Linked DNA regions of Oryzias latipes. The protein of the gene in region 4 purifies or fractionates together with the protein of the main gene of each other region. This does not show direct contact. Links are inferred from orthologs where the notes say so. Each region holds a gene or a part of one and is shown on either strand. Other genes may lie near its edges. The genes, in order: med8, med31, med9, cdk19, med18, med7 and med21.

Evidence for each region.
Region 1: the proteins of cdk19 (region 4) and med8 purify together in Homo sapiens (affinity purification with mass spectrometry; 6 studies listed by BioGRID and IntAct, counting the BioPlex papers as one, with this or other methods). This does not show direct contact. The link is inferred for Oryzias latipes from reciprocal best matches to the Homo sapiens genes CDK19 and MED8.
Region 2: the proteins of cdk19 (region 4) and med31 purify together in Homo sapiens (affinity purification with mass spectrometry; 6 studies listed by BioGRID and IntAct, counting the BioPlex papers as one, with this or other methods). This does not show direct contact. The link is inferred for Oryzias latipes from reciprocal best matches to the Homo sapiens genes CDK19 and MED31.
Region 3: the proteins of cdk19 (region 4) and med9 purify together in Homo sapiens (affinity purification with mass spectrometry; 7 studies listed by BioGRID and IntAct, counting the BioPlex papers as one, with this or other methods). This does not show direct contact. The link is inferred for Oryzias latipes from reciprocal best matches to the Homo sapiens genes CDK19 and MED9.
Region 5: the proteins of cdk19 (region 4) and med18 purify together in Homo sapiens (affinity purification with mass spectrometry; 5 studies listed by BioGRID and IntAct, counting the BioPlex papers as one, with this or other methods). This does not show direct contact. The link is inferred for Oryzias latipes from reciprocal best matches to the Homo sapiens genes CDK19 and MED18.
Region 6: the proteins of cdk19 (region 4) and med7 purify together in Homo sapiens (affinity purification with mass spectrometry; 5 studies listed by BioGRID and IntAct, counting the BioPlex papers as one, with this or other methods). This does not show direct contact. The link is inferred for Oryzias latipes from reciprocal best matches to the Homo sapiens genes CDK19 and MED7.
Region 7: the proteins of cdk19 (region 4) and med21 purify together in Homo sapiens (affinity purification with mass spectrometry; 6 studies listed by BioGRID and IntAct, counting the BioPlex papers as one, with this or other methods). This does not show direct contact. The link is inferred for Oryzias latipes from reciprocal best matches to the Homo sapiens genes CDK19 and MED21.

The regions. Positions count from the first base shown.
Region 1 is NC_019862.2:24,740,687-24,745,279, reverse strand, and holds med8 (mediator of RNA polymerase II transcription subunit 8), read right to left. Parts: upstream 3,012-4,593; 5' UTR 2,919-3,011; coding exon 2,913-2,918; intron 2,781-2,912; coding exon 2,659-2,780; intron 1,631-2,658; coding exon 1,486-1,630; intron 1,403-1,485; coding exon 1,262-1,402; intron 1,184-1,261; coding exon 1,096-1,183; intron 1,025-1,095; coding exon 785-1,024; intron 709-784; coding exon 638-708; 3' UTR 464-637; downstream 1-463. UniProt on the Homo sapiens protein: Component of the Mediator complex, a coactivator involved in the regulated transcription of nearly all RNA polymerase II-dependent genes.
Region 2 is NC_019872.2:23,706,629-23,709,325, forward strand, and holds the end of med31 (mediator of RNA polymerase II transcription subunit 31), read left to right. Parts: intron 1-1,197; coding exon 1,198-1,294; intron 1,295-1,393; coding exon 1,394-1,607; 3' UTR 1,608-1,847; downstream 1,848-2,697. UniProt on the Homo sapiens protein: Component of the Mediator complex, a coactivator involved in the regulated transcription of nearly all RNA polymerase II-dependent genes.
Region 3 is NC_019866.2:10,874,609-10,877,712, forward strand, and holds med9 (mediator of RNA polymerase II transcription subunit 9), read left to right. Parts: upstream 1-1,745; 5' UTR 1,746-1,797; coding exon 1,798-1,877; intron 1,878-2,072; coding exon 2,073-2,292; 3' UTR 2,293-2,497; downstream 2,498-3,104.
Region 4 is NC_019882.2:10,351,667-10,356,130, forward strand, and holds the start of cdk19 (cyclin-dependent kinase 19), read left to right. Parts: upstream 1-1,328; 5' UTR 1,329-1,601; coding exon 1,602-1,604; exon of another isoform or gene 1,605-1,678; coding exon 1,679-1,824; intron 1,825-4,464. Other genes in the region: amd1 (S-adenosylmethionine decarboxylase proenzyme), read right to left, coding at 204-325.
Region 5 is NC_019874.2:22,763,767-22,768,303, forward strand, and holds med18 (mediator of RNA polymerase II transcription subunit 18), read right to left. Parts: upstream 3,229-4,537; 5' UTR 2,872-3,228; intron 2,395-2,871; 5' UTR 2,388-2,394; coding exon 2,315-2,387; intron 1,596-2,314; coding exon 1,039-1,595; 3' UTR 930-1,038; downstream 1-929. UniProt on the Homo sapiens protein: Component of the Mediator complex, a coactivator involved in the regulated transcription of nearly all RNA polymerase II-dependent genes.
Region 6 is NC_019868.2:21,185,818-21,190,426, forward strand, and holds the start of med7 (mediator of RNA polymerase II transcription subunit 7), read right to left. Parts: upstream 2,889-4,609; 5' UTR 2,773-2,888; intron 606-2,772; 5' UTR 597-605; coding exon 1-596. Other genes in the region: itk (tyrosine-protein kinase ITK/TSK), read left to right, coding at 4,276-4,413, 4,495-4,599. UniProt on the Homo sapiens protein: Component of the Mediator complex, a coactivator involved in the regulated transcription of nearly all RNA polymerase II-dependent genes.
Region 7 is NC_019881.2:3,908,843-3,913,280, reverse strand, and holds the start of med21 (mediator of RNA polymerase II transcription subunit 21), read left to right. Parts: upstream 1-1,530; 5' UTR 1,531-1,553; coding exon 1,554-1,595; intron 1,596-2,653; coding exon 2,654-2,768; intron 2,769-4,438. Other genes in the region: fgfr1op2 (FGFR1 oncogene partner 2), read right to left, coding at 99-233. UniProt on the Homo sapiens protein: Component of the Mediator complex, a coactivator involved in the regulated transcription of nearly all RNA polymerase II-dependent genes.

The DNA.
Region 1 (4,593 bases), on a different chromosome or scaffold from region 4:
CATCTCCAAAAGCAGGGTTCTAAAGATGAATGGAAATTAGACGTGGAGTTGTATATCAAAAAATACAAATTTAAGAATTTACTTACAATAAGGGTAACTTTATGGAGACTTCTGACTTTGTGTCTCCCATATCGGTCTTTTGTTCAGGTTTGTTTGTGAGCACAAATGTGTCTTTGTTCAACTCTGAGTTAAGGAACGGAGGGTGGATGTAGGTCATACAGCCAGACAGGATCAGAGCAGACAGAGGGCCAACACTCAGACAGGAATAAAACCCCCACCACCACCATTGTCAACAGCAATAGTTCCTCGCGTTCTCCCTTAAAAGTTGTGACACAACGTCCACCCCCATCAGGCTCAGCGCTGCAACACAGACTCAGAAGAGCGGAGCTCAGGTTTTTTCACGTCGTTTCAGTGCAGAAACAAGAGAAAGACACTTGTATAATAAAGGCCACACAAACCAAGCTGCTTTTCTGGGTTTTATTGAAAACATGTCATTGTGCTGTTAAGATTTAGCCATAAAGGATCCCATGCTGCCACCTAGTGGCTGTATAGAGAGCTTCAAAGGGGGACGTGAAGGTGGACCCAGTAACAGACTGATGTTCCTGCATCTGAGCAGTAAAGAGGCGGGCGGGGGAGATCACCGGTTGTAAGGGTGAATGGAACCCGATGCAGACTTGATGTTTGTCTTGATGCTGCTTGGCATTTTTCCTGGACAAAAATAAAGAAATAAAAATGTGTCTCCAATACAAAAAACTTAATACATTTTACCAGTACAGTTTCCTACCTGGCTGACCTTGCTGCTGGGGGGCCCCAGGCCCTCCCATACCTGCTTGCTGGTTTGACCCGCCACCAATAGTGACCTGCTGTAACGTTGGACCTCCGCTCATCATGGGCCCCTGCCCTGGGTGGCCAGGGGCCACAGGGCCAGGAGGTCTACACTTGGAGAGTCCCTTCCCAAAAGCCACAGCTGCTACCAAGGCACTGGTGTCTGTGGGGTTGAAGGACGCTTTGTTCTGCCGCACTGCTGGAAGATAAACACACTCAGCTCTTTCTACAATAAGGACAACAAGGGATTTACACAAACGAGCGACCCACCAGAAGCATCTCCCTCTCTGTCCTCTCGAGGGTTGTTCAGCTTCTCCAGAAGGTTGGAACACAGCTTGTTCAGAGCCTGGATATGCTTCTGTGGATTAGCACAGACAAACACTAAACACCTTCTGAGCACAGACAACAGATAACAAACATCCATGCGCCTCCTGACCTGAGCCAACTCAGGACCAATCCTGACCGCCTCTGCACTCAGCTGCTTCTCCTGCTCTTCCACCTCGGGGTCAGGCTTGGTCCTCAAGTGATCTGGCACAATCTCGTGACTGAACACCGGGACGCGTTGCTCTGTGAGTTTCTGAGGGGGGTGTGGGGGTGGACAGGATAGTTAGAGGTCTTTCACCACACAGGACAGCCTGCAAATGTTGCGGCGACACTCACAGCTAAATCCTCATCCCGGTCAGGAGACAGGAGCAGCGGGATGATGACCTGACTCCGGAAAGCTGGGGTCTTCTCGTTCCTCAGCAGCTTGTTGATGGTGTTCAGCTGACCCGAGAGGAGAGCAAAGTTGTCCAAAACAGATGGCCTGAGGGACAGGAAAGATTTGAGAGGGGGGTGAGAAAACTTTTGCAGGTAAACATGGAGACACAAACACTTTCTAAAAGACGCATGCACACGTACAAATACACGCACGCAAATACAGACACCAATGCTACAACAAGCTGGCAGTTACCATAGATCTGTGTTGGCTTGCTTGTTTTTCTTTAGTTTCGTTTTTTTTTTTCTCTAATTATTATTCTGTTTTTTGACAGAATTGTTGTTTTTTACACAAGTGCAGTGGCGTGCCTGCTAGTCCTTTGGACTATTTATCCCCCACTTTCTGGGTCTGAAGCGGTCTGTGGGTACATCGTCTACACGGTCAGCTGTTGTTGCTTGGCAACAACAACATGCCGCTGGAGAAGCAATCCCAGATCGCAGGAGATACTGAGGAGACTGGGGTTCTCCTGAGTTTTCAGGACTCTTTTTAATGATGGCATTGTTGCGTCTGCCCTCTTCTATGGTTTGAGCTGCTGGAGGTGTGAATGCACAAACAGGAACAAGAAGAGGATCAACAAACTGGAGCGGAGATCCGGCTACGTTCTGGGATGTCTCCTAGAATCGGTAACTGTGGTGGGTGAGAGTAAAATGTTACAGAAACTGAACTCCATCATGGACACTCCTCTTCTTCATCATCATCATCATCCTTTGTATGGGTGTACTGAGCAGCTCCTTTACACCTTGTTGCAGGAAGGAGCACTTTCCCAGATCTTTCTTCCCGTCAGCTATTAGACTCTGCAATGCCTTATAGACATTGGACAAAAATGATTGCTGTTAATTGTTTAAGTGTATTTTTAGTGTTATTAATATATATCTGATGTTTTATTGGAGCTATGGCAACAACAAGGTAATTTCCCCTTTTGTGGGATCAACAAAGATTTATAGTCTAAGTGCGCTCGCGCACACATGCACACGCACGATATGCACTCACTTGTTAACTTCGCATGTTTCCAGGCTTTTATTTATCATAATCAAAGGAGGGGGGATACGTTACGTCATAAGGGCAGGAGGACCCACCATGTCAGACGTTCGTACTCATTCTCCAGCTTGTAGATGAAGCTGCTCAGGGCGTTTTTAACGTGAGCCACCCGGGAGATGAGAGACTCCACCGCCGTCTCCAGCTGCTTCTCCTCCCGCTGCTGAAACACAAAAAGGACGAGCAGAGAGGCCCGGACAGATTACACAGCGCCCGAGCTAGCATCAGTCCAAAGTATCGTCCACAGTAGGTCAGAAGAATCACAGACAACCGAGTGAAATTATTTCAGACTCACTTGCATTGTTGATCTGTCAGCGACCCGGAAGTCTTCTAGGTTGTACTTCCGCTTTGCGCTTTCCAAAAAAAAGAGATGCTTCTTCTTCTCTGGTCAAATCTGACGGTGTGTTTGTGCTCCCTTGTGGCTACAGCAGGTACCCATACCACCCATCCTCTTGTTTTTTTCTTTTCTTTTTTTATTTATTGTTCAATAAATATTTGTTTCTGAGGGTTTTGCACCCTTTAATATTGTTTTCTTTCGTCCAAATTCTCTGTTCCAGGCCAAAATAATGTACTAGAACTGTCCCGTCAGAGTCATTAATCCAGTCTATACTGACTTTTTTAAAATAGAGAATCAACGATGGTGTTGACTAAAAAAAAATGAGAAATTGCAGCAACCAAAGTGAAATTGAAGAGCTGAGAGCAGAATCAGAGGATGAGTCCTGCAGACAGTTGTGAAGGAAGCACAGAGAAGGTGCAGCTTACAGGGAGACAGAGATAAAAGCTCAGAGCAGAAACAATTTAGTCTTCCTGGTATTTATTAAAAACAAATGATATGTTTAGTGTTTTTGTTTCTGTGTGTGATCATGGGTCTTCTGTAACAAGCTGTATATTGTTCTGGTTATCTTTAGTGGAAGCTCCAAATGTCCCAGAATCTTGGCCAACCATTACAAAATCAGTTCTTTTCAAGTTTATGAGTCATCAACATTATCTATTTAGTTCGGCTTTATTATTAACATTCACCGGTCCAGGCATCAGACTAAAATACAAGCCTTATAAAAACAGAGACCTGATTGTTTGGTGCAACCTTGGAGAAGAGCTCTCTGACCTAAGACCTCAAAAGTGTCTCTTAGACTGAATCCTAACACCATTTGACCCAGCAGTGGTCTGGTGAACTGCCCAGGGTGTATCCCACCTTTGCCTTTCAGTAGCTGGGTGGGCTCTAGGACACCCAGCATACTTTTTTTTTATATACATGAATAAAGGTGGTTTAGAAGATGGATCAATGTTTCTAGCAGTGTAAACTCTATATGCAACTGCTATTTTTACTTCAGGATCAGAGTTCAGATAATGTTTGCATGAGCAAATGTCCAACGTGACAAAATAAATTAGCCTGAAGAATCATGCCAGCTGTTCATACACACTTAAGAGTTAATAAAAGACACTCCAGAAAAGTTCAAATAGGACATCCACATTCAACAGGTCTGCACAGTTTCGTTTATTGCTCTGAAATGAGTGTAAAACGGAAACTCTAGAAGTAGTTTTCCACATCGCCTGTTTCCACCACCACCGTCTTCAGCTGGGAGTAGTACTCGATGGTCACCTGGCCGTTCTCTCTGCCAAAGCCTGCACAGATCAAGAACTCGGTTTCACCATTTTTCCTCAAGAAGCCTCTTGTTTTTTTTTGTTTTTTTTACAAGACCCCACCTGACATCTTATACCCTCCAAATGGCACCTCCACTGGGCTGATGTTGTAATTGTTGATGAAGCAGGTCCCCGCCTCCAGACTTGCAGCCACACGATGAGCTCGAGAAATGTCTCTGCAGACGAAGAACAGAGTTCAGGTGAGACCTTACCAGAGACTGTGGAGTGTTAATCTTTGACAGCAATAGGGTCAGAAAATGCAATAAAGCAGTTTTATCTTAAAAGCAAACGTTATCGCAGTCTGCAGCTCTCTGCTGACCTGGTGAAAACCCCAG
Region 2 (2,697 bases), on a different chromosome or scaffold from region 4:
GACTCGTGTACTGATGTGTCAGTAGCAAGTGAAACAACCTTAAAGTCGGCTCTTTGGTGTGAAAGACACGACCCGGATCCTTCCTGGGAGTTGTTTTTTTTTTTAAAGTATTAATTCAGCCTTTCTTACTTTATTGTTAACTGTAAGCTACACATGACTGTGTCTCTGGTCAATATGAGATGGCGCTCGATGCACTCCGTAAAGGGGGGGGGGGTAGCTCAGGGGATTCACAGCTGTGAAGGACTTTGCACAAAACACAGACGTAGATAGAGAAAGGTGCAACTCATTGTAATGGAACTTAAAGTCAGCAGAAATGAACATGGAGGCATTAAATAGTTCTTTGTGTTTTCAGATTTGATAGATTGGAATAACAGGTTCATCTGACCTTGAGCAGTGTCACAGACCACATGTGCTGTAACTTATTTCTGTCTCATTTTTCACACTGTTGTCTGAGTTCAAAGGAAACCAGGATTTGTCTTGAACCAGCTTCATACTTTGAATGGTCATGTTTTTAAAAATAAAGTTGAACGACAGGCAGGAGGATCTTTTCAGTGCTGTTTTTCCCTTGATTTATAAATGAGGGAAACAAAGTAAAGTAACGTAGTGAATTTTTTAAATCGGTAATGAGTATATTAACTTAATTACAATTTTGATCCAGTAACTAAGTAATGTAATCAATGACTTTTCAGAAGTAATTTACCCGACACTGCTGTAGATATACTTCACATGAATGCAGTTTGTTTTCATAGGCAGGTTTGTACTTTTGCAGAGAAGTTAATTTGATTTGGTCAATCAAAAAAAAAAAACAGAAGAGAGAGAGGGCCTGTCATCTCTAGTGACCACGAGGGCGTGGAAGGGCCGCTCCACGGTCAGGATCAGTAATTGAGGGGGGGTTAGATTCTTCTGAAGGAAAGCGAGCAGATGGATAACGGCGATCGTCTCTGGAATCATCGCTCCAACTAGTCCACTCACACTTCCAGGAGCCTTGTCATCCAACAGGACGCCAGGTTCCTGTCCCGCTCTGGCATCACCTCAAGATCTGTTACACCAGGGGGCGCCATTCTATCACTGCAGGCTTTCTCCATAGATCTTCATAGGAAATAGTTCTCTGCACGAATGTTGTAAAGCATGTTTATTGTGAAGCCTGAGCAGCCTCACCTGCGTCTCAGGCTCAATCTCTGACCCGTTTGTCTGCAGTTCTGGCTCAGAGGGGCTTCCTGAAGGAGCGACCCTTCATCAACTACCTGAAGTACCTGCTGTACTGGAAGGAGCCAGAGTACTCCAAGTTCCTGAAGTAAGGCGCCGTTTTTTTCCTTCTCCACTCTGAACACTGGACAGTCTGCGGGTCCTTTGGCCTGCAGGTTTCTGACCGTGTCTTTGGCGCCCCCTGCAGGTACCCCCACTGCCTGCACATGCTGGAGCTGCTGCAGTACGAGCACTTCAGGAAGGAGCAGGTCAACGCTCAGTGCGCCAAGTTCATTGATGAGCAGCAGCTGCTGCACTGGCAGCATTACTCCCGCAAGCGCACGCGGCTGCAGCAGGCGCTGGCTGAGCAGCAGCAGGCGCAGCAGCCGCCACAGCCGCACGGCAACGCCGCAGCTAAGTGAGAATGGAGAGGAGGAGCTTCAGGTGACGCCCAAGAAAATCTTTTTCTTCATCATAACGTTCTCTCAGATGAGGCTGTGATGGATGGAAGCCGCAGCAGAGCTTCCTGAGAGCTGGACAGACTGTTCCTGGATCAGACTGCAGTCAGGATCCAACCTGGAACATTATCACGAACATTAATGTGAAATATTCATCCACAAGATTGTTTTTTGCAAAAATAAACGTTTTTTTTGTCTGTTCTACTTCCTGTTGTGCACATAAATATTTTTTCACACTTAATATTGGAGATGTAATAAATAATCAACGTTAGTCAGTGAATCAATTTATATTCCTAGATCCAAAAAGATAGTTTCAATATAAAATAATTTAAAAACTAACGAAAAAAATTATATCAAAATGTGAAAATACCATTTGGATTGAGGTTTATTTTACTATAACTGTTAAATATATGAGAACTGGACTGAGTGACCCTTCCCCACTGGTTTTACAAACAGGAAGTACCCGTTAGTTCTAAGAAGCCCAAATCCCATAGATTTCTATGGAGAAATAAACCACGCTTACTCAGTCATTCTATTGGTCAGAATAAACACGCTTGCTCTGATACCTTTTTCTTGCTAGTCTTAACTTAATTAATTATTCAAGACCAAGTGCATCACAGCCAAAAACACGTGATGTCAGCAAAAACTGATCAACCATCATCCACTTTGAATTTAGAAAGTCATGTGACCACACAGAGTGCTAGAATGTTCTAAGAATGTTCCCTTTGGATGTGGAAAAACAACAGTGGATTGAACTTTACTAAAATGTTTAAACCAAAATGTGAATGGATTTGACTTTCCTTCTTGTTTACTTGTTTGTTTGTACACATTTAATTTACACTTAATTATCTTGAAGGAATCAGAAACACTTCACCTGCACTGTTCAATAGCAGGTATTTCTTTCTGAGTGACACTGGTTAAAGTTTTGAATAAAGATGTCCTGGATCCATTTTAGGTCAGTGAGCCGGATCAATTAAAATCAGTCAATCATTCCTACTTGACATAAATCATTGTTTAGCTTCTAGCTAATCTTACTTTAGTCTAACCTAAACAG
Region 3 (3,104 bases), on a different chromosome or scaffold from region 4:
TCCTGGCTAATGTTCAAAACTGGATTTAAATTATTACTAAATCTAAAAATAATTATGCAAGCTCCTTCGCTGCCTCAAAAGTGAGGTTCAGCTCATCAGCATATAAAAACAGCGATATTCTCTTTTCAAATTGGTTTGATATGTGTGATGCAATGACCAGATCCGTCAAAATGATCCAAGATTTGATAGTTTACACTGTGATAGTTTACATTGTAAAATGCTCTGAAAACGTCAATTTGAGGTTACTAATATATTCTGTTTAGTTTGTGCAAAACCTCCCAATCAAGTCGAAATGGAAATCCTTACTTTTACAGTCAGTGGCGCCACTCATTTAGATATCCATTCTTTGTCACACCTCTGGGTAAAAGCCTCACACTTAATTTAATGCTCACTGCCTGTGTCACGTTGGCATTCTATCTTCTCCAGGGGAGACTGAGTTTTTCCCTTTCTGTGTTCACCAGGTGTGAGTAATGAACTCATGGGATGTTCGCTGCATCAAGAGGTCAAACTTGATTTCATGTGAAATGGATGTAAACATGAGTTATTTGGGCTAAAAAGAATACATTTAAAAATAAAACACATAATTCAACATCAAACAGGAGAATCGTCATTGCTACACATGCATAATCGTGTAGTCACTTGTACTAACAAAGAATTGAGCAAATTAGCCATTTTAATTCTCCGTGTTGCCTAATGTATTGCCAAACAGGGCTTTAGAAAATAACCAGGAAGTAAGCTTTTCATTATTTTGTTTTATTTTCTACATACTAAATATTGTATCCCCAATCAACAAGGACGCACTGTGTAAACAGAAAAGGAAAAAGGGTTTCCAGACAGAGATGCACGACCTGAATGAAACACTTCATTTATCTTCCAAACAGACAAATTGCGTGACGCACCGTGAGACTATATTTGTGCTTGCTATGAGCTCTAGTGTTTACACAGCTCCCCATTTTTCAGTTCTCAAGCATGTCTTGTGTTGACTTTCGATGTCAGTACTTCAGGTTACCAAGTAGCAAGACGTGTAGCCAAGGTCATTCCAAGTCCTAGGTCATGTGTTTATTATGTGCATTGACAAATGGTCTGTGACCTCCATCCATCCATCCATCCATCTTACTCTGCTTTACCGGGACTGGGTCACGGGGGCAGTCTAAGCAAAGATGCCCAGACTTCCCTCGCCCCTGCTACTTCCTCCAGCTCTTCTGGGAGGGACCCCAAGGTGTTCCCAGGCCAGCCGAGAGACGTAGTTTCTCCAGCGTGTCCTGGGTCTTCCCCGGGGCCTCCGCATAGTGGGACATGCCCGCAACACCTCCCCAGAGAGGCGTACAGGAGGCACCCGGACTTGATGCCCGAGCAACCTTGGAATAGGTCTGGGACCTATTCTGAGCAAAATGATGACATGCCACGAGAATTGCAAGGGCTTTATCAGAAAGAAATCAGTCCCAAATCTTTTAGATCTTTTTTCTTGTGTTTGAAATTTATTACAGCAAATTTTTCTTTGTTATTTCTTGTTTTGTGTCAAGACTTTTTAATAGTTTGGGAATCATACCATGACTTATATGACTTACCATCTCAAGGTAATCATTTTTTTCATACTTTTGATAACTAGAGTATTCATTCATTCATTCATTCATTCATTTATTCATTCAATCAATCATTCACTCATTCATCTATAATCATTGTTGTTGTTGTTGTTGTTCAACATCAATTGAACTTTTTTAAAGTTGTGATTTCAGTTGAGATTCTCGGAGTAACCTGTGACGTCATCAGCCTGCGCCAGTTGCAGAAGGAGTAGCAATGGCGGTAGCTCAGGCTAAGCTCGTGAAGGAGACCGAAGACTGCTCTTTGCTGCCCTTAGTTCACGACATTATCAAATGGTAAGCTGTTTCCTGTGTGCTGGGTTTACGTATATGTTGGTATTTACTAAATGGTTCACGGTAAACTCTCGTTGGGGGTATTTACGGTTTGCTATATGAGAAGTGACGTGAACGCTTCCCATCATGGGTGCAGTTTTGCCTTTAATAGAAGTCTGTTATTTATGTATTTATTTATTTATTTATGTTTCTGCTTAGCATGGATAAGGACAGCCCGGATGTCAACCAGGAGCTGACAAAACTAAAAACAAAGATCCAAGAAACCCGGGAGCAGATCTCTAACATGTCTGGGATAGACTGCAGTCCGCCGGAGCAGCAGCAGCAGCTGGCCACGCTGCGGGAGCAGGTCCGCACCAAGAACCAGCTGCTGCAGAAGTACAAGGGACTGTGCATGTTTGATGTGCCTAAGGCGTCGTGAGACAACAGACTACAAACTGGAGACTTGAGCAAAGACGTTTATTTCTACGGTTTACCATTTAAAAAAAAACCTGAAATGAAAAATGGGACTTTTGTTTTTCTTTTTTGTTTGCATCAGTGTGAATGATCTGCTCTGTTTCTGAAGTATCTGTTATTATTTCAAGTTGTAAATCTCTATTTTTAATAAATTAAATCGTGCTATAGTGTTTTACTTGTTTTCATTATTATTATTATTATTATTATTATTAATAATAAATGTATAAGGGCTTTGATGCTTTATTGAGCAGACCATTTAGTCTGAATCTAAAAGGTTTTTAAATAAAGGAAAGCATTTGCCACGGCACACACTTTCACATAACTTTATGTAGTTCCTTTTCACAACATGCAAAGTAAATCTAATTTAATGTGAATCAGCATTTTTCTCTAAACAAAGTTTGATTTTAATCATAAATGATATTGTCTCTAATGGGCCAAATATTACATCTGTTGATATCTACTAAATAGCCTCTAATTATATGTGCTGCACTGCCTCCTAGTCTAATTGTTTTCCTTCTCTGTTATTGTGCCATGGTTATCATTTGTGCAAACAATGGAGTCCTAATGAATAATTATTCAGGCTGTTAGCTCTTTTTATATATAAGTCCATTTAATTTCAGAATGTCTCAATAAATGATGTGTTATAAACATGTATTTTCATTCGAACAGCAGAATGAAAACGTATATATAATTCTTAAAGTGTTTGTTTTATGCGAGAAATTGGAGAGTGGGACTGAGAACAGACTATGAAAGTATCAAGTTTTTTATTTTTTATTT
Region 4 (4,464 bases):
TGTTTCCAGGGTTGCAAACTAACCAACATCAGGCTCAAAGACCCTAACTCCACAATTTCACTAGTTAAAGCTTTAGACATTTACGGTTATTTACGGAAACAACAACTAGTTACGTTAAGGAACGACGACGTAGCATAGCAACGAGGCCGCGCATGTGGTCCGGAGGCTAACGACCAAACCACTGACTGACGGAGAAGACAAACCTTGGGATAGAGCGGAGGTCCCCGGTGCCCTTAGTGTCATCCTGGCGGCAGAACCAGACCTCCAGCAGCTTCTCGGTCCCCTCGAAGAAATGTGCACCGTTATCCTGATCCTCCATCATCATGATGAGACAACAGACACCTCAATAGTCTGTCAAACCTTGGTAGTATGGTTTACAGCTTAAAATGGTCGTTCCTTGGTTCGCTTTAACTTATTGAGGTACAGTATTTTAACAATCTGGTTGTTTGCTTGTCTTGAGTTACCGTCTTCCCTGTAGCAGAGAACAACGTAAGCGAGCGCTAGCTAATATCGCCGGCCATACTGTGTAGAGCACTGAGGAAGCGGCGCGCGGTGATTTTATACAACGACGCCGTTACGTCAGCGGTGCGCTGAGCCACTCTCCTGGTGAGGTTTTATTTACTCCTTTATGATTGGTCCAGGGATCTGTCACTCATGACTCAAACACTGTGACGTAATAGACACGTTCGTTTATTCTTTAAACTTGTTTAGGTCTAAAGAAAACTTGTAAAAGTCTAAAGTATAATTAAAAAGCTGTCTTTTTTCTATCAATACTTATTTTGTACTAATTTACTTGGGTGGATGATTGATTGTTTTTTTTTAAATATACAAGCAAATACATAAATACATTTACTTACAATTTTGGAGCTCAAAGATTAATTTTCTCCACGAATATAAAAAAAAAAATAATGAAAAGACAGTATCTACTCTATCTTTTATAGAAAACAATAGTAACAGGTCAAAATATTTGAGGTTCCCCCCTCATTTGAATCCTTTATCCAGTAAAATTATGATCACATAGGCTATAACGTATAAATGCAATATAAAAATTAGTATGCATTTGCTTTGTTAAGAGATATACATACAGTTGTTTTCATTATAGTAGTTTCTTTAAACAGGTTTTTTTTACTCACTGAGAAAGTTAGATTTTAACAACAATAATTTTGATAATTTTTTTTTTACTTACGGAGAAAGTTAGATTTTAACAACAACAGTATTTATAATCAAATAATTATTACATCATAATTAATACTTTTTAAAATCTTTTTTCTCTTATTAAAATGAATACTGCAACTACTATTAGTGGTAAAACAAGTTTTAAGGAAATAATATTTTCAATTAATGGCTGATGTTTCAGACAAAAATTTCCATAAAGTCAAACAGCAGAGGAACATTTTTGAAGAAAGTTCTTTAGTACGCAAAGTGCAACAAACCGCATCAAGAAACGCGGGTAGTAGTTTATTTTCCTTCTCTTTACTGTTTCCTCAATGGTGTCAACGTCCCATTGGAACTACACTACCCATCTGGCAACACGCGCCAATTAGAAACGTCAACGAGCCAGTGAACATTAAGCGGAGCAGACCAAAATCCCAAACAAGGAAATGGTGGGGGAATAAAACGACCAGATTATTTAATGAATGCATGTAATAATTAATATTTTATTTTTTTGTAAATTAAGACGTATTTATGGGTTGAAATGGATTACGACTTCAAAACAAAGCTGGCAGCGGAGAGGGAGAGAGTGGAAGATCTTTTCGAATATGAAGGTTGCAAAGTGGGTCGAGGCACCTACGGGCACGTTTATAAAGCTAAGCGCAAAGACGGGTAAGAAGATAACCGTGAACGTTCTTGTTTTGTTCCGAAGTCTCATATCGACCGCTCGCTGCTGCTCGCGGTCTCAGATCTCACTAACGGGCCGCGCGGCTCGGTAGGTTCGAAACCCACCAAGGCAAAAACCTCTGTGTTTTTGTTTTCATGGAACGCACGCGCGCACTCACTCACTCACCCACCAACGCCCCCTCCCCACGATTACACTCATTCACACATACACATAACATACAAATGCGCGCGAATACCCCCCCCCCCTCTAAACTAAGTCCCAGACGAAATGTTAAAACAACGCGGCTGTTGTTGTTGTTTTTTTTATCGAGGGGGGGGGGGGGGGAGTTCACGCGGACGCAGGTCGACGTGACCGCGTTGCGCCTCGCGGCTTTTTTAGGCAGCAGCTTTGGCTCTAGTAGAGACGTCAAACTTTAGTAATAGTTTGTCACGTGTGTACCTCCAGCAACACCTTTGTTGTTAGATCAAAGGAGCAGGAGGAAGACTCAGATGCTCCCATGACTGCTGTTTCATAGACCCTCTGTGGGACTTTGAAACAGCAGGCATGAAGGCTCGGAGTTTAAAACAGAAGCTGTGGGTTTTTGTTTGAAGGTGGAGTTCATCAGTCTGTGGTCAGTCAGAGGTGATCTTCATGATGTTGCTTTTAAAATTTGCAGTTTTGTAGGAAATCGGTACAGATTTGTTAGAACTTTATGCTGTTTTGTATTTTGAACTTTTTTTTCTGCAGCTTGATAGGGCTGCATGGTTAGCACTCTTGGCGTGCAGTTCCTGGTATGAATCCTGGCTGGGACCTTTTTGTATGAAATTTGCATGTTTTTCTTGTGTGTGTGTGGGTTTCTTCCAGGAACTCATCTTTCCTCCCACAGTCCAAAAATACAATCAAGGGTTAATTGGTGACTCAAAATTGTCCCTAGATGTGAGTTTGTCTCGTTGTGTGGTCCTGTGACAGACTGGTGATCTGTCCAGATCTTGTCTGTAAATGAGAACTGGACCGACATCACCCATACAAAATGGCTTGCTTCTGGTTCCACTAAATGAAGTCAATTCAGTTGCCTTTTTTTTTTTTGCAATATGCATGTTGCTATGTTGGTAAGCAGTGATTGATCTGAGTAAATGTTTCTATGGCAACAACTTTCGCTAATCAGGAGTGAACTTGTTGAAAGTCCACACCTTTATCAACTGAAAGCGTGCCTAGGAGAATCTGTCAATGAAACGCTTCAAACGTTCCGTGTTAGACCACATACTTTTATTGAGGCATCAGATTGGTCATTAATGTGAATAGCTTGCACTACAGAAAAAATATGGGAAAATAAATTAGGATTAGCAAGAACATGTTAAAAAGGGTAGCAGAGCTAGAATGTTTATTCGGACCTATAGAACGACTGAGTAATATCTGTTTATTATTCAATAGAAGTCTGTGGGATTTGGGCTGCTAGGAACCAGCAGGTACTTCCTATTTAGAATGTGATGGGAGAGGGATTACCCAGTCCAGTTGTCATGTGCAGTCAATGGGCCAATTCGCCCAATAGCAGCTGGGATGGGCCCTAGTAACCCCATTACCCCAACAGGTATTCAGCAGATTTGGATGATGGATGGATGCGTGAGGTGGACACAAAAGGACCGTTTGGGCCTCAGAATGTCATACCGTCAAGAAAAGCTCACAACCTTGAAAGCAGACTGACCTTATCAGATGTTGTGGCTAAAGAGTCATCTCTGGTTCCCATGACGACAGAAGGGTCACAAGAATTATTGTTCTGTTTCATAAAACAGCTGTGAATGTTTGTAACACACACATATTTTATAAATCAAGTAGATATTGATCTTACCCTGTAAAGTTCAGAAACCGGTCAACGATAAAAACAATAAAAGCTCCAGTTAAAAAAATCTCCTGTTTTGAAATCCAAATGTTGTCTCTTTCTTCCTTTTTCAACCATGGAAAACAAAAGACAGAACCCTACGGTTAGGTTCTGAAATACTCCTTGTGGGACCTACTGCTTGAGTTGATTCAGAATCTCTGTATATTCATGTTTTCATAGGGACGAAGGGAACATTGGACGATTCTTGGAATGGGGTTTGTTTCAGTGGATCGTCCATTGTGTTGATGAGCTGGAGGTTCTTTTAAATGGATCAGGAGGTCAAACTTGTTTTATTGTTCACGCTTCGCTTTCCTTCCCAGACTTTCTTTGGGGAGACACTGTGTGAAGTGTGAAAGCAGCCTTAAATGTTTACATGTAGGATGAAAGTGGTATGGAACTGGACGTCTTGACTGGGTTTGAGTTTTTTTCGTCATCTGGGATGGTCAGATCAGCGCTGCTGATTCAGCCACATACCTACACGATGAGTTTCACAACACTCCATTGTGACTCTGGCTCATCTGCCGGTACGGTCAATGAAAAACAACTTGTACAGAGTTAATAAAGCACTCCAACCATTTCAGTTAAGACATTTAAATATGAGTTTGTTTTTCCCTCCTTAATGCAATTGATGAATCTCACTCATTGCTTTATTTACCATACCTCAAGTCTTGATATTTCAACGTACGTGAAAGACAGGATATTGGGTACAATGGCTCTACAAAACATTTGAGTGGAAATTGGGTCTTGGTGTTGATGCCTTTATTACGAG
Region 5 (4,537 bases), on a different chromosome or scaffold from region 4:
TTTTTTTTTTTTTTTTTAAAAAGGGGGATTAGGGTACTGGAGGTTCAAAAGTGCGGCTTTCTTTCAGTGTGCTCTAAACGCATGTGGAAGCAATGCCACCTCACCTTTCCACCTCAGTGAGCTTGTCCTCATCAGCCTTGAAATGCAGGTAGGTCAACATGCAGAGACAGGCATCAGCCCCGGAGCTGTCCGCTCAGACATGCACATGGTCACTCTACATCTCAACTCCAGCAAATGCATCTTCCTGCAAGGGTATTATTAGAAACAATCTTGTCTTTTTGCCAACATTATTATCATAACTGACAGGATGTGCATTAGTTACTTCCGCCTCTGCAGTAGCTTGGCCATGTTGACACACTAATATACAACCCCCTTTTTCCAATTTCAACATGAGCAATGAAGGACCTAAGGCAACCATAGTGCTTTCACTTGTAATAGTCCCAGCTCAAGTTCCCATGAAAAAAAGAAAGGATACTAATGGGTTAACAGTAGAAATGAAAGGGGAAGAGAGGGAAAATCAATGCTTTTGTGGAAAGGAAGAAAGAAAGGCTTTCACAGGTCTATGTATCATTAAGCAATTGAGAAAGCTAATTAGAGTGGGGTAAACGATGTGCAGATCGCACAGCTAATTATTTCCATGGCAACCAGAGCTCCTGTAGATGATGAGAGGTAGCGTTCACTTTGCTCCAATTAAGACCATCCTTGTGGAAAGAGAGACCCCTGGTGGACATTTATTATATAAAAAAATGAAATTGAAGATTTAAAAAAAAATTTTTAAAGCAATAACATAAGCCATCTGAGGCATTGCAAAATGTTTGTCAACTTAAAATATATTTAAGTATTTTCCAGCTATTTGTTACTATAATATTTTCTTTATAGTAGGCACAAAAAGTAAAAAATAAATTAAAAAAATACTCTGACAGGTCAGATTAACCACAACTGTAACAGTTTAAGCAAAGTAAATCTGTATTTCATCACATTAAAAAGCATTTAAATGGAAAGGAAAACAATAACAAAAACATTTTTTTCCATTAATGCTTAATGTCTCTGCTTGCTTGGGTCAATCTTCTCCAGATGAATCAGAGGTTTGAGCTGCTCGGCAAAGCTGCGCATGTCTTCTGACACGGTGTCCTGTCCGGCCGGAGCCAAAATGCTCAGTTCCACTAAATACGACAGCGACATTCGCTCTGTATTTTCCGTGTTCCCTGGTACTAGGATGCGTGAAACCTTGCTAACCACAACTTTCATTGCTCCTTTGCGAAATATGTGACCACTGGCCACAAACTCATGGTCCATGCGAAAGCCCATCTCATTGAGGAACTCCGGAAGGCTTTGAGAGGCAGCTACATCGACACAGTTGCGAACCAGAGCATGGCGGCTCTTGTCTCCCACTTCTGGCTGGCCTAGATACCGCAGGTGCCATGGAGAAGTAGGGTGGGAGAGGGAGCGTCTGGCACGCAGAATGAAGGGGTTGCCTTGCTGGCCTTTCAAAAGGTAAACCAGCTCGTGGTCGGTGAAAGTCTCTGGTTCCATGTTGTCACAGAGACCACGCAGGCGATGCAGGAGGCTTTCCAGAGCCTGATCCAAAACACTGCCTGAAAAAAACGAGAAAATAGAATATCCTTTAAAGACTCATATAGTAAGTTCTTTACTCCCACTATAATTATTTCCTGCTGTGATACAACTTTTTAAAAATGAATATTAAACATATAATCCTCCATCATGAAATTAAAAAATGTTCAATGTTAAAATTAGTGTTCGTTTTAGATCTCTTTTTTTTACAAACACAGTTTCAATAAACACTTCAGATGTGATGAAAACATGAATAACAGGTTTCATGAATAAAAAAATTTAAAAAAAGCTTTCCTGACTTGAGGATTATTTTTCCATAAATCTTTATGCATCTATATAATCTTAAATACTTCAGTTTACTAAATACAAATGTGTCCAGTAAAGTGCAGCACAAACAGGACAGGAAAACCTTAGAAATATATATTATTTTCAAGACAGAAAGTAACTGAGCACTCTTTCCACACTCTTGACAGTGTGGTTTGCTCTTTAATGCTACACCAACACTCATGATGGAAAAATAATTAGCTCAACTTAATAGTTTTTTTTTAAAGACTAATATTAATGGATAGAAGTTGGTTTTAGCAACAGAATGAAGATGTAAACATTATTTTTCAAATAATTTAGCCAGTGAACTTCATACTGGCTTCTAATATATGTATTCTGGAAAAATACACCGTTTTATCTGTAAATATATCAAGCCTCTATATCTCTGGTTGAACCTTCTATATCTGAATCGTCTCACCTTGTAACAGATATTCCATCATGTTGATGGCACCGCCGGTGACGGGCATAACTGTGACAGGAGGAGCTTCCATCTTCTTCCTGATTTAAAGTAATAGTGAATGATGGCATTGTCATTCACTTAGCAAAAAGTACTACACTTGAAGTTTATTTCATTGAGGACACGTGAGAATAAGTACAAGTGTACGATAGACCATGTGTATATTGTGAAAGAAGTATTAACTGACTGAAAACTTCTTCAGACTAAATTGGAACATTTTATGTTTTGAATTTAGCAATACTAGATTGTGTTTAAAAGTTTACTTCAAGTATATCGTCCCACTAGCCAATTATACATGTAGTAAACTAAATAGGCTACTTTTTGCAAAGTGTTGTTGGACTACTCTATTTCATTTGCAGTTGTTTGATGATACATGTGAGTGACATTACCAATGAATGAATGAGTAAACAGAAAACAGTTGTTAGCTAAATTAGCGAACAAATACAACTACCAATAGCAGGCTTATGCTAACTAGCAAAAGCAGTAGACGTTTCTCACTACAGAGTAAGATGGTTTACCTGAGCAGAATAAAGAGTTCGGCGCAGCGTTAGAACTGACTAAAGTTAAGATATTTTTGCTGTTTGTGGTTGGTTTCCACGGTGGGCCCCCTGTTTCACCGGTTAGCTAATATCCACACGGCTGCTAGTACCAGTTAACAGTTAGCCTACATGGAATTACCAACTCACGATTTGAGCTGTTACTGTCATCAACAAAGTAATTTAAGGCATTCGTACTTAACTTAAAAAATAAAAAAAGTGTTAATGAAATATATATTGTAACCCGTTCTAAAAACAACCAAAATTTGATGCTAATCAGAAAACAAAGGCGCCCAAGTTCTTCCTTGGCTTTTGTTTTTAAAAGGCGCTTTCAATCCAGTTTAAAGCTCGTTACTGCCACCTACTGAAACCCCGGAATATAACCATTCATGGAAGCAACTTTCTGTGTTAGCTTTTTCCGCGCAAACAGGTATTTAGGCAAATGATAAAACAATAAGTACACGTTGAATACACTTATTGAACTTAAATTTTAGCAATGTAGAAAAAGGATCAATTACAGTAACCCAAACAGGGGTTACTTTAAAAATACAATCCATAAATAACATTTTTTTAAAAATCAACTTCAAGTCATTTGATTTACAAAAACACTCACAAACCAAAACGTGCTCTAAAAATTGAAACTATTATCAGTGCAGATAAGTAACTAAATGTATTTGAAAACCTTGCACATATTTAAAAATAATAAAAATATATATGTAGATTTCATACCGAAAATGTTGTAATAGTAATTGCTGGCACATAAAAAAATAAAAGCCTAGCTCTGTGGGCCTTTTTTTTAAAACTCAGATGCTGTCTTCACAACAATTACAATATTTTTACAATTAGTTTTTGTTAAATATTTTCTTTTTAAAACATTGAATAAAACATTTAAAATTCAGACATGCTGCTATAGTTTTTGGCTGATTGAGGTTCACAAACTTTTTTAAGATTTGTGCTTAACCTTTTAAAGTAAATGACAAACATTCCATCAGATGCATATTTTACACATAAAATAATAAAGATATAAAAACTGTGTTTTGACGGATTCCGAAGCCTTTAAAGAAAAAATATTTAACAAAATTTGTGTCAGAAAAAATAATGGTTCAGAATAATTTAAAGGAACTTGTTTTCTGTTTTCAAAGCACTTGCTGACAGTATCAGGTACAGACACAAAGCAATGCTATATTTCATAAAGATAATTAGCAAGCAGTTATTCATTTTCTGACACAATGGAAAAAACCCTTCTAAGGGTTTCCATTTTGGACCTTGTAGGGTGAAGTTTACTTCAACTCACAAAACAGAATCCATGTTAAGGCAACTTCAGAACTGCTAAAATATCGCAACAATTACCTGCTCAACCTATCCAAACTGCTTTTTGTGAATTTTATTTCACTGTAAATGGTTTCATTGTGGGCTAATTCACGGCCATTGGTCTTTGCAGGGGTTCTAAAGGCAATTAAGGAATAAACAATGGAGGGTTCTTCTTCCACCTGCAAATAAAGAAATAATGATTAGTGGAAAATGATTAGTAAATGATTAGTCACTTTATGATTTGTGGAAAATGTAAAGGATTATTACTCACACTTGTCCGTCTTCTGAAAACACAGCAAGTGCAAAGCAAAGGAAATGCTAGAGGGTGAACATAGAA
Region 6 (4,609 bases), on a different chromosome or scaffold from region 4:
GAACAGGGGGCAGCAGCTGCTCCGGACGCACCCTTTGGCCCTTCAGAAACGTCTGGAATCTCCATCTGCAGCAGGTCGTCAGGCGCAGAAGCAAGACACCCTTGGATCATCTCCACGACTCTCTCCAGGTGTTTTTGGAATCTCTCCGCCGTCTCCAACCTCTGCCTCTTCTGCACCTCCATCATCACCCTCAGAGTCTCCCTGGCTTGGTGCGGCCTGTACTCGTTGATCAGATGATGCATGTGAACAAACAAAAGCTTTATGTCCTCCATCTTCTCTTCGCGTTTAATATTACCAGGACTTTTGATAAGGATGTCTAAAAGGTCCAGAAAGTTTACGAGAATGGACATGTTCAGCTTCTTGAGCTCCCGTTTGTGGTCAAACTGCATAGGATGCAGCCTCTCGATGCCTTGGCTCTCCAGAGGCCGAATAATAAGGTCGTCGCACTGAAACTGATTGCCAAACATCATGTAGCTGTCTCTGATGGGCGGAGGCGGCTTTGGCACCAGACCTTTGCGAATGTTTTCATCTGTATACTCCTTGATGTACTGCATGGGCGGTGGAGGCAGTGCGCTGACCTGCTGTGGTTCACCCATTTTGCAGACCTAAAAATTATAAAATAAATAGAACTACAAGTTAGAAAGAATCCAAACAACAAATACACAGTCATGCACCTGATAAGATCCCACTGTTGTGGCGAGTTCACGGGTCTCACTTATATGAAGTAAAACAATCTTTAATGACCCCCTCATATGTTCTGGGTGATGGCATCAGCTACCTCTTGCATAAACGCTTTCTCCAGTCAGTAAAGTCACAGTCATGATAGCACTTTGTCAAAACTATGCCTTTTTAATGTGCCAAAATAATAACTTTCAAGAAAAAATATCCTTATTTATTCATTTTCTAAACCCGTTTTTGTCCCTTTCAGGGTCACGGGGCTGCCGGAGCCTATCTCAGCAAAGGCAGGGGACATCATGGACAGTTCGCCAGTCTGTAGCAGAGCCACGTTCACACACCCATGCACACTCACACCTAGGGAGAATTTAGTAACCAATTAACTTATGAAGCTTGTTTTTGGACGGTGGGAGGGAGCTGGAGTCCCTGGAGAAAAACCAGGGGATCACGCAAACGCCACAGAGAAAGGTCCCCCAGTGGTGATTCTGTTTCAGGTCCCCCAGCTGGGACTTGAACTGGGGGCCTTCTTGCTGTGAGGCAAGAGCGACAACCAAGAAGAACATGCATCTGTGGAGCTTAAACATATACATGTTTTTAGGTTAGAGTAGATAAGTATTAAATGCAGATTAACCAACAGACACAGGAACAGATGTACAATGTTGACACTTAGCCTAATATTACTAGTTTTGTATATGCATCCACAAACGTTATAATTATTTTAACACGGTTTACTATAGTTTCTGTTACAGATACTTATTCAATAATACATTGTTTTACAATATATTTTTCAAAAGATTAAAGAAAATGTAGAGGAATTTTTAAGTGAAACATTTTTTTAAAATTGTGAGAAAAGACTTATACAGGTTTCCATAATCAGTTTTACAATACCAAAAATAATTAATCAATAAAGCCATTTCTAAATGCTGTGGAAAATGGCATAAAGATGTGACAGCTTCCATTGCATTATAGTTACCTGTGGGACAATTAAACAGATTTTTGATTGATTCCTAAACTTCTTTACATCCTCATGTTTTTTTAATTGAAACAAATTGTCTGTGCTACTTACCGGTAACTAAAAATCCAAATTATTATAATTCCTTTATCTATAAGAAAACAGTTTTTATTCAATTGAAACATGTTTAAATTTATATTATCTATCACTATCCCCCCTATCAGATTGTACTTGTTAAAGAATATGATTTTTTTCTGTGTGATTTAACACCATTTTTTCAAAATGCTTATTTGTTGTGCACATAACCTTATAATTGTTCTGCTATCAATTTAGCAAATACAACTGAATTAGTAGATTTTATATTCAAAATTAAAAAATAAATAAAAAAAAAACTGCAGAGTTTAAAAAAATGTTTAAAGAAAAGCCATCCTGATGTAAGAAGAGAACAAATGAGGGTCAAAAACAAGTCAAATTGTGGATTTTAGTAAAGAGAAGTGCATACATGCACATTCTATACATTAAAAAAAACACAGCTTTTACAAAATGCATATTTGTTGATGTCTGTTTTCAACACTTTGTATCATTGTTATTGAAGGAAAGAAAACAACATTCAAATCAGAGAAGGATATGTCATATGGTCGGTGCATGTTTTAACTTGAAGATTGCCACGATCAGAGTTTACCGTAGCCAAACGAGTCGTTAACCGCTCCAACCAATAAAAGTATTTTTTCCCACGCGTTTTTTTTAGGATTTTACACGTGCTCACAAGAAGTACAACAACAGATAATGTTCACACATCACATAGCTAAACCTGTTTTCTAAGTAAGAAGGCGGACAAGTCGACAACAGACACACACATGATCATCACGATTCATTTTGAGAACTATGTCAAAGTCAAACCTAACGTAACAAATCTCGAATTATTCCGCCGTAGTGCATTTAGATACCACATAAAAGCCCACGTATATACTAACTAACAGTAAAAGTTATTACAAAAACCTAATTAATAAAACCGCTCCGTTGATGTTTGGCTAACAACAAACGTCGTTTCCTGCATCTGCTGAATAATACAGTCTCTACAGTCAAAGAAACAGGTCTGTAACACGAATAAAAGGGTTACATTTATAACTGATTATTGTACAAACCTGTTTAACGACTCAATTGGTTGAGTTTAGATGAAAATTCTTCTAGCCAGTTAGCTCCTGACTAGCTTCGCTTTATTCATTTCCCGGTTGAGTTTCAGATGCCAGGATTGGACAGTGACCCGGAAACAAACTCGACGTTGATTGGTTGCGTCGACAAGCCTTTAAAGTATTTCATTATTAACCTTATAATTAGTGGGTTTTATTCAAAACTAATCTCTTTCCTGTATTAATTGTTTTAAACTTTTTGTTAGTTTTTGTTTGTTTAATATAGTGAGTTCAGGTTCTGATCCTGGTAGGCCTATAAATCTTAAAATATGTTCTTAAAATAAGCTGCTTAAGAAATCAAACCCAAGCAAAAAAAGTTCAGATCTGTAACCATAAAAAAGGGGGGGGAGGGGGACTCTAATTTTAAAAATGTATCTATCATTTGTTTTTACGCCCTAAATACAGTAGGGCAGGTGAAAGTGTCTAACTTTGAATTTTATGTTTCATTTTCTACTTAGTCAATTAGCAACACCTAATATTCATTCTTTTTCTTTTTTTTACACTTAAATAAAAATGGTCAAACTATTATAAGTAAGCTGACTTCATCTTGACCCTGACACTAAATAAGAATGACATGTAACATTTTATTTTATAAACGTTGTCATAGGCCTAGTGAATATTTAGCAGAGGGCAAAGGTTGTGCTTCGGAGTGTGCAAAACAAAACAAGAACATCGTATTTGAACCAAAATTGAAAAGAAAAATAAGAATCTTTCTAACCCCAAAGAAAACATAGCCTCATGAAAAGTACATCAAAGGTTCCATATTGTATTTGGATACATTTTTCTTAGAAACCAGACTTTTCTCTTTTGCTGTTTTCTGCATTTAGTGATTCATGAAACCTTGACATTCTTAGTGTTTGTAGGATATAACTTATCATGCATTTTACATTTTTAAAAATTGCATTTTTTTCATTTTTAAGTTTTCCTTCAGTAGTACTTTTTTACTACAATTTTGATACAAGCGGAGAGTTTCTTTTAAATGAAGAAAAAAGAAAATTTAAAAATTCCGAAAAAAAACCCCAGCTATGGCTTCTTAGGTATTGATTAACAGTGTTATTTTTGTTTTTAGCTTTTGATTTAATATGAAAATTTAAATTGTTTTCTAAAACATTTTTGTTTAACAACCAAGCAATTCTGACAAAAAGCTTACATTTTTATGCAAAATTTGATCAATAGTACATCAAAGGTTCATGTTAAAAAAAAAACCTTTATTGAGTTTAACACAACATACGTGATGATACGTGTGTGTATTTGTGTGCACATCAGTGTGTGATTGCTTGCACAGAGTGTTGCCACAAGGATGTGGTTTACTGCATGCAACTAACCCACGCCGGAAACTCTTCGGCATCTTCAATGTTTGCATTCTCCCTTTTTTTTCCCCCCTGCAGTCAGAGGCTTTCAGTTACTCCGTCCAATACCACCCAGTGTCTCCAGTGGTGTTATTCTCAACTGCTAACCATGTTTCCTCGGGTGATTTTGAAGGGAACCATGATCAAAAAATCTCAGCAAAAGAAGAGAACGTCACCGTGTAATTACAAAGAGAGATTTTTTGTTTTGGACACACAGGAGCTGAAGTATTCTGAGCGCCGTTCGGGGGTGAGTGCTTGTGTGCTTCATGGAATTGTCAAATTGAGCTTGACTGAACTGACAACTTTTGGAAATGGCACGATCTTGCAGAAGAAGCCCATGCTAAAAGGTTGCATTCAACTGTCCAGTATTAAGTGTGTGGAAATTGTGTGTAGTGACATCCCCATACCATGCCAATACAAGTACCCATTTCAGGTACCAGTCG
Region 7 (4,438 bases), on a different chromosome or scaffold from region 4:
GGAGGCACGGTTCATCCTGGGCAGGACGTCAGTCGGCTCATGAGGAAAATATTTAAAATAAAATAAAATAAAACATCAAAATCCAAGCAGAATCTTACCTGTTTCATGGCTTCTACCCTCTTGTTGAGAGATGTTGTCTGTTCGATTAACATCTCGGCTACGTTGTCATGGTTACGGAGCCTTTCTACCAAGGACTTAGCATCTGCCAGGACTTTCTCTAACGTACAGTTCATGTCTAAAGGGGAAAACATTAAAGTAAAATCGATGAGCAGGACATTTTTTAGAAAATATCAATCTGGTTTTAAAGAAATGTGAAAACTTAAGAAGAAAAAAAACATCGAGTTCAAGTCTGTAAGTAATATAACAAATTGGGCAATTTCCTTCATAAAACTGTTTTACTCTTTTGCTTTCTGTTTGTTCAGTTTTAGTGAGATAAAAACCTAATTACTGTGGTGAGTAATGAACATCTGGAAGTAAAGAGTAGTAGATCCCTGCATTTTTCATTTACTTACACATTAGCGTTAAGATACTCAGCGTCTTACAGATTTAAGATGGAAAGTTAAATGATAGAAAGTGATGTAAACAGTACAAAAAGCAGGGAAATTGGTTTTAAGCAGATTACTTTTTAGTTACAATACTTATCTTAAATCTTTGTTTAGAGTTTAAGGGAATACGTAGCTCCGTTTATGAAATGCACCCATCATGACTGGTTGAACATTCGCTGCTAAGCATCTAATTTTGCCAATGTCGTGTTTGGGTAATTCAGGTTTAAAAACACACTAAATATTTATTTTAGCAGAATTCGATGTATAACTTCTACATCAAGATTTCCTCCAGTAATAACGAGCAGGAGATGCTGCCCCATACCATCACACTGCCACCACCAAACAATGTAACTTTACCGGGTATGACCCTCCTGCTCACCCACTAAAGCAGGATGTTAACGAATGTGTCACAGTTTAAAAGGGGAAAAAAGAGGATGTCGAACTGCAGGAGATTTATGATCATGAAATATACTTTCTTATGACAAAAAAATTAAGCAAGCAGAAACAAACAGCTAATTATGTCTTTGCTTACGTAGTAGTAAAGTAGTTACAACTAACGAAGCTGCTCTCTAAATCCTGACAAATTTTCCAACAAAACATACAAACGTACCTCATAAACAGTGTACCAAAGCATGTAAAGGTGTCTTAATTTAACACTGAAGTGGTCTTACCTGAAGAGTTCAAAGTGCAACCAGAAAATAGATCTTCTTCCTGATATTTTATGTTGTAGCTCAGAATAGCAACATCATGCTTATGCTAACACGAATATCGGATTATACGTTAAACTTAAACTTTGTTTCTTTAAGACATAAAAAAATATACTAAAGTACAAAAAATGAATTTCGCAAAAGTCTCTATGGTATTCAAGTCTAAAATAACAGGTTTAAGGTTGTTGACGGGCTAACTTTCTTTAGCTATCTTGTCTTCCGAAATGACGTCAATTTCTGCGAGATTTTGTCAATGCTCTCGCGATAGTTGACGACGGACTTTTGTCAAATACAGGTAAATATGGCGGACCGGCTAACGCAACTACAAGATGCTGTCAACTCGGTAAAATAAAAATGTTAAATATTTGACAAAAATTGTGATATAGAAAGACTGTCACATATACATTTAAATATGAAATGTGCATTATATATAGGTTTTAATGGAAGTTGTTTCCTAATTTATTTACTGAGGGCGTAACATCACAGCAGCTAACAATGCTAATGCTAACTTAATAAATAGCATTACTTACTTGGTGTTTGCTGAAGCTGTTTGCCAAAATGCTGAAGTAGATTGGAATTAAAGTTGAAGACGCATGAAAGGAAGTGGAAATTATTTAAAAAGGTACCCAAACCAGGAAGTTACCCTATAAATTGTTCGTTTTGAGACTTATCCTAATCCTGCCGGTCAAAATATGCTGTCAAACAAAGTTAGAGTCCCATTTGTTCTTAGCATGCTAGCCATCCTTTAGTGTAGCTCTATCAGGAAACTCCTGAAAGCACTAAGCAGCTTGTTTGCTCATTTAGCTGGAATATTATAGGAATCATGATGTGTGGTGGTACAGGCCAACCGTTCTGTTATTGTTTAGGTCAGCCGGATGACATTTCTTACTAGCATATGGACTAAAGATATACATATGTATATAACATATGACAATATTGAACTTCAGGCACTCCAACCCCTACACTTAATCTTCATGACATTTCGAAATAAATGCCTGAAGGGCATAATACATATGATTACATGAAGAAGGAGCAAAAACCTAAAAATATTCTAACTTACAAGAAGTGTACTACTTCATAATTCTCTTTTCTCTATGAAAGATTTTAACCGTCTTAAATAAAACCAAAATCTTGCTGAAAATGCTTGAAATATTTGCATACAGCCAGATAAAGAATAATGGAAGACAATTATACCAAAAATGTTTTTAAAATGAAATGTTTAATATAATATCCATTCATTTCCAATGAGTAGAATTTCCTGCTGTGCTTTGTTATAATCCAAGCTTGATTGTTTTGACCTTTCTGTCTGTGTTTCAAACATAAAATGAATCTATTCGGGATGTGTGGTGCAGGTCGGCTTCAGCTCGGTCTGAACTGTGTGTTCTGCTTTTGCGTGGGCAGCTTGCAGATCAGTTTTGTAACGCCATCGGTGTTTTGCAACAATTTGCTCCCCCTGCGTCCTTCAGCAACATCCAGACCGCTATCAACAAGGACCAGCCGGCCAACCCCACTGAAGGTTAGTCTGACGCCGACTGTCTCTAAAGACCCACTGGGTCGCCGCCTGCTCTTCACCTTCAGTCCTCGGTTTACAGTTTCAATTCTGAATTTTCACTTTCGGAGTACAGCCTCATTTTACGTTGGGGTGGGCCTTCGATGCCGTTGGATATTGGGACATGATTGATATCAGGGGCTAGACGGGTCATTCTCTGAATTCGGTGCACATTGGTAATTGAAAATCTTACCTAAAAAATGTGTGTTTCTTAACATTACATCAGATTAAGGACTATTTAAACCTCTGAGAAAAGATGTTTTCCCACTTTAGACATGAAATCCCCCAAATTGTTAGAAAGTTTGTCACTGTGACAGTGTGTTTTGTTACGGAGTAGAATATTACGAGGTTGAAGTTGTCACGTGTCTACATTAGCTAGGATATGAAGCTACATATGGCATGAGGAAAACAAGAATTTAATACATATTTCAAAGCAATCGTTAGCTTTTTCCCAAACAATAGTAAATATCATTTATTAATTTAACAGAGTTGAAAGGTTGAGCTTGACAAAGTCAATCTGACAACAGAAACTATGAAATATGGGTAAGAAAGGAGGCTAATACTTACCTGTCTTCAGAGTATGAGCAGGAAAATATTCAGTGATGTCACTTCCTGGCTGCTGAAGAAGTTGGACTGAACTATTATTTTTTTTTAAAGGGGGATTGATAGGCTGTTACGGGTTGAACAAAACTGAGGGACAGGAATAAACGGTGAAATTTCATAAAGATTCATTTATTTTTGTCATACTTCTTTTATTTAAGTGAAACTAAATAGGCATATGTTTATGTTAGCAGAAAAAGCATGTAGTTAGTGGCTGTTTTTATCAGTTTTGCATTAGCTGAAAAGGTAACTTTGGCTTCGTTCATACTGCAGGCTGAAACGACCCAATTCTGATTTTCTTCCCCCATGCGACCTGTATCTGATCTTTTCATGACAGTCTGAACGACACAGATCCCATCTTTTCAAATGTGAACCAGGCCACTTGGGTATGTGGTCCTGAATCCAATACGTATCCGATCTTTTCAAATGCGACCTCCGTCTGAACGGCCAGGCCACATGAATCCGACCCGTACCTCATTGATACGTTCTCAAACGTCATAATTCTGCGTTGAAGTAGGCGGAACCAGAAGATAAACATCAACCATGGCGGACGATGCTGCTGAGACCAGTCAGTGGAAGGGAAGCGAGGTCACCGATTGGATTCATATTTGGGGTGACAGCTCCATTCAGGCCAAACTCCAGGGCTCTTATCGCAACCGGGCAGTTTTTGAAAATATTTCCAGCAAAATGGCCGAGCGTGGTGTTGAACCTTTCCCACCTGACTTTTTTTTCTTTCCGACTGTGGTCGGAAGCAGGGGGGGGGGATCTTCTCCAGGGCTGAAGGAAGATCCTCCTCCGGAATTAACTTCCCCGTTCGGACCCTCAGATTCTCCAGAGCGGGTTAATAAAGAGTCAATTATAGCATTTATTCTGGGGGAAGCCTTCTTTTATTATCGTTCTCCTTCCTCTGTAACACACAACATGAATGCACGCACCCGACACACTTCCGCTGCCCCCCCCCCCCCCATCCCCCCCCCCACACACACACACTCCCTCCGGCGCTCTACGCGCTCTCTCCTCTCTCTTATTACACACAC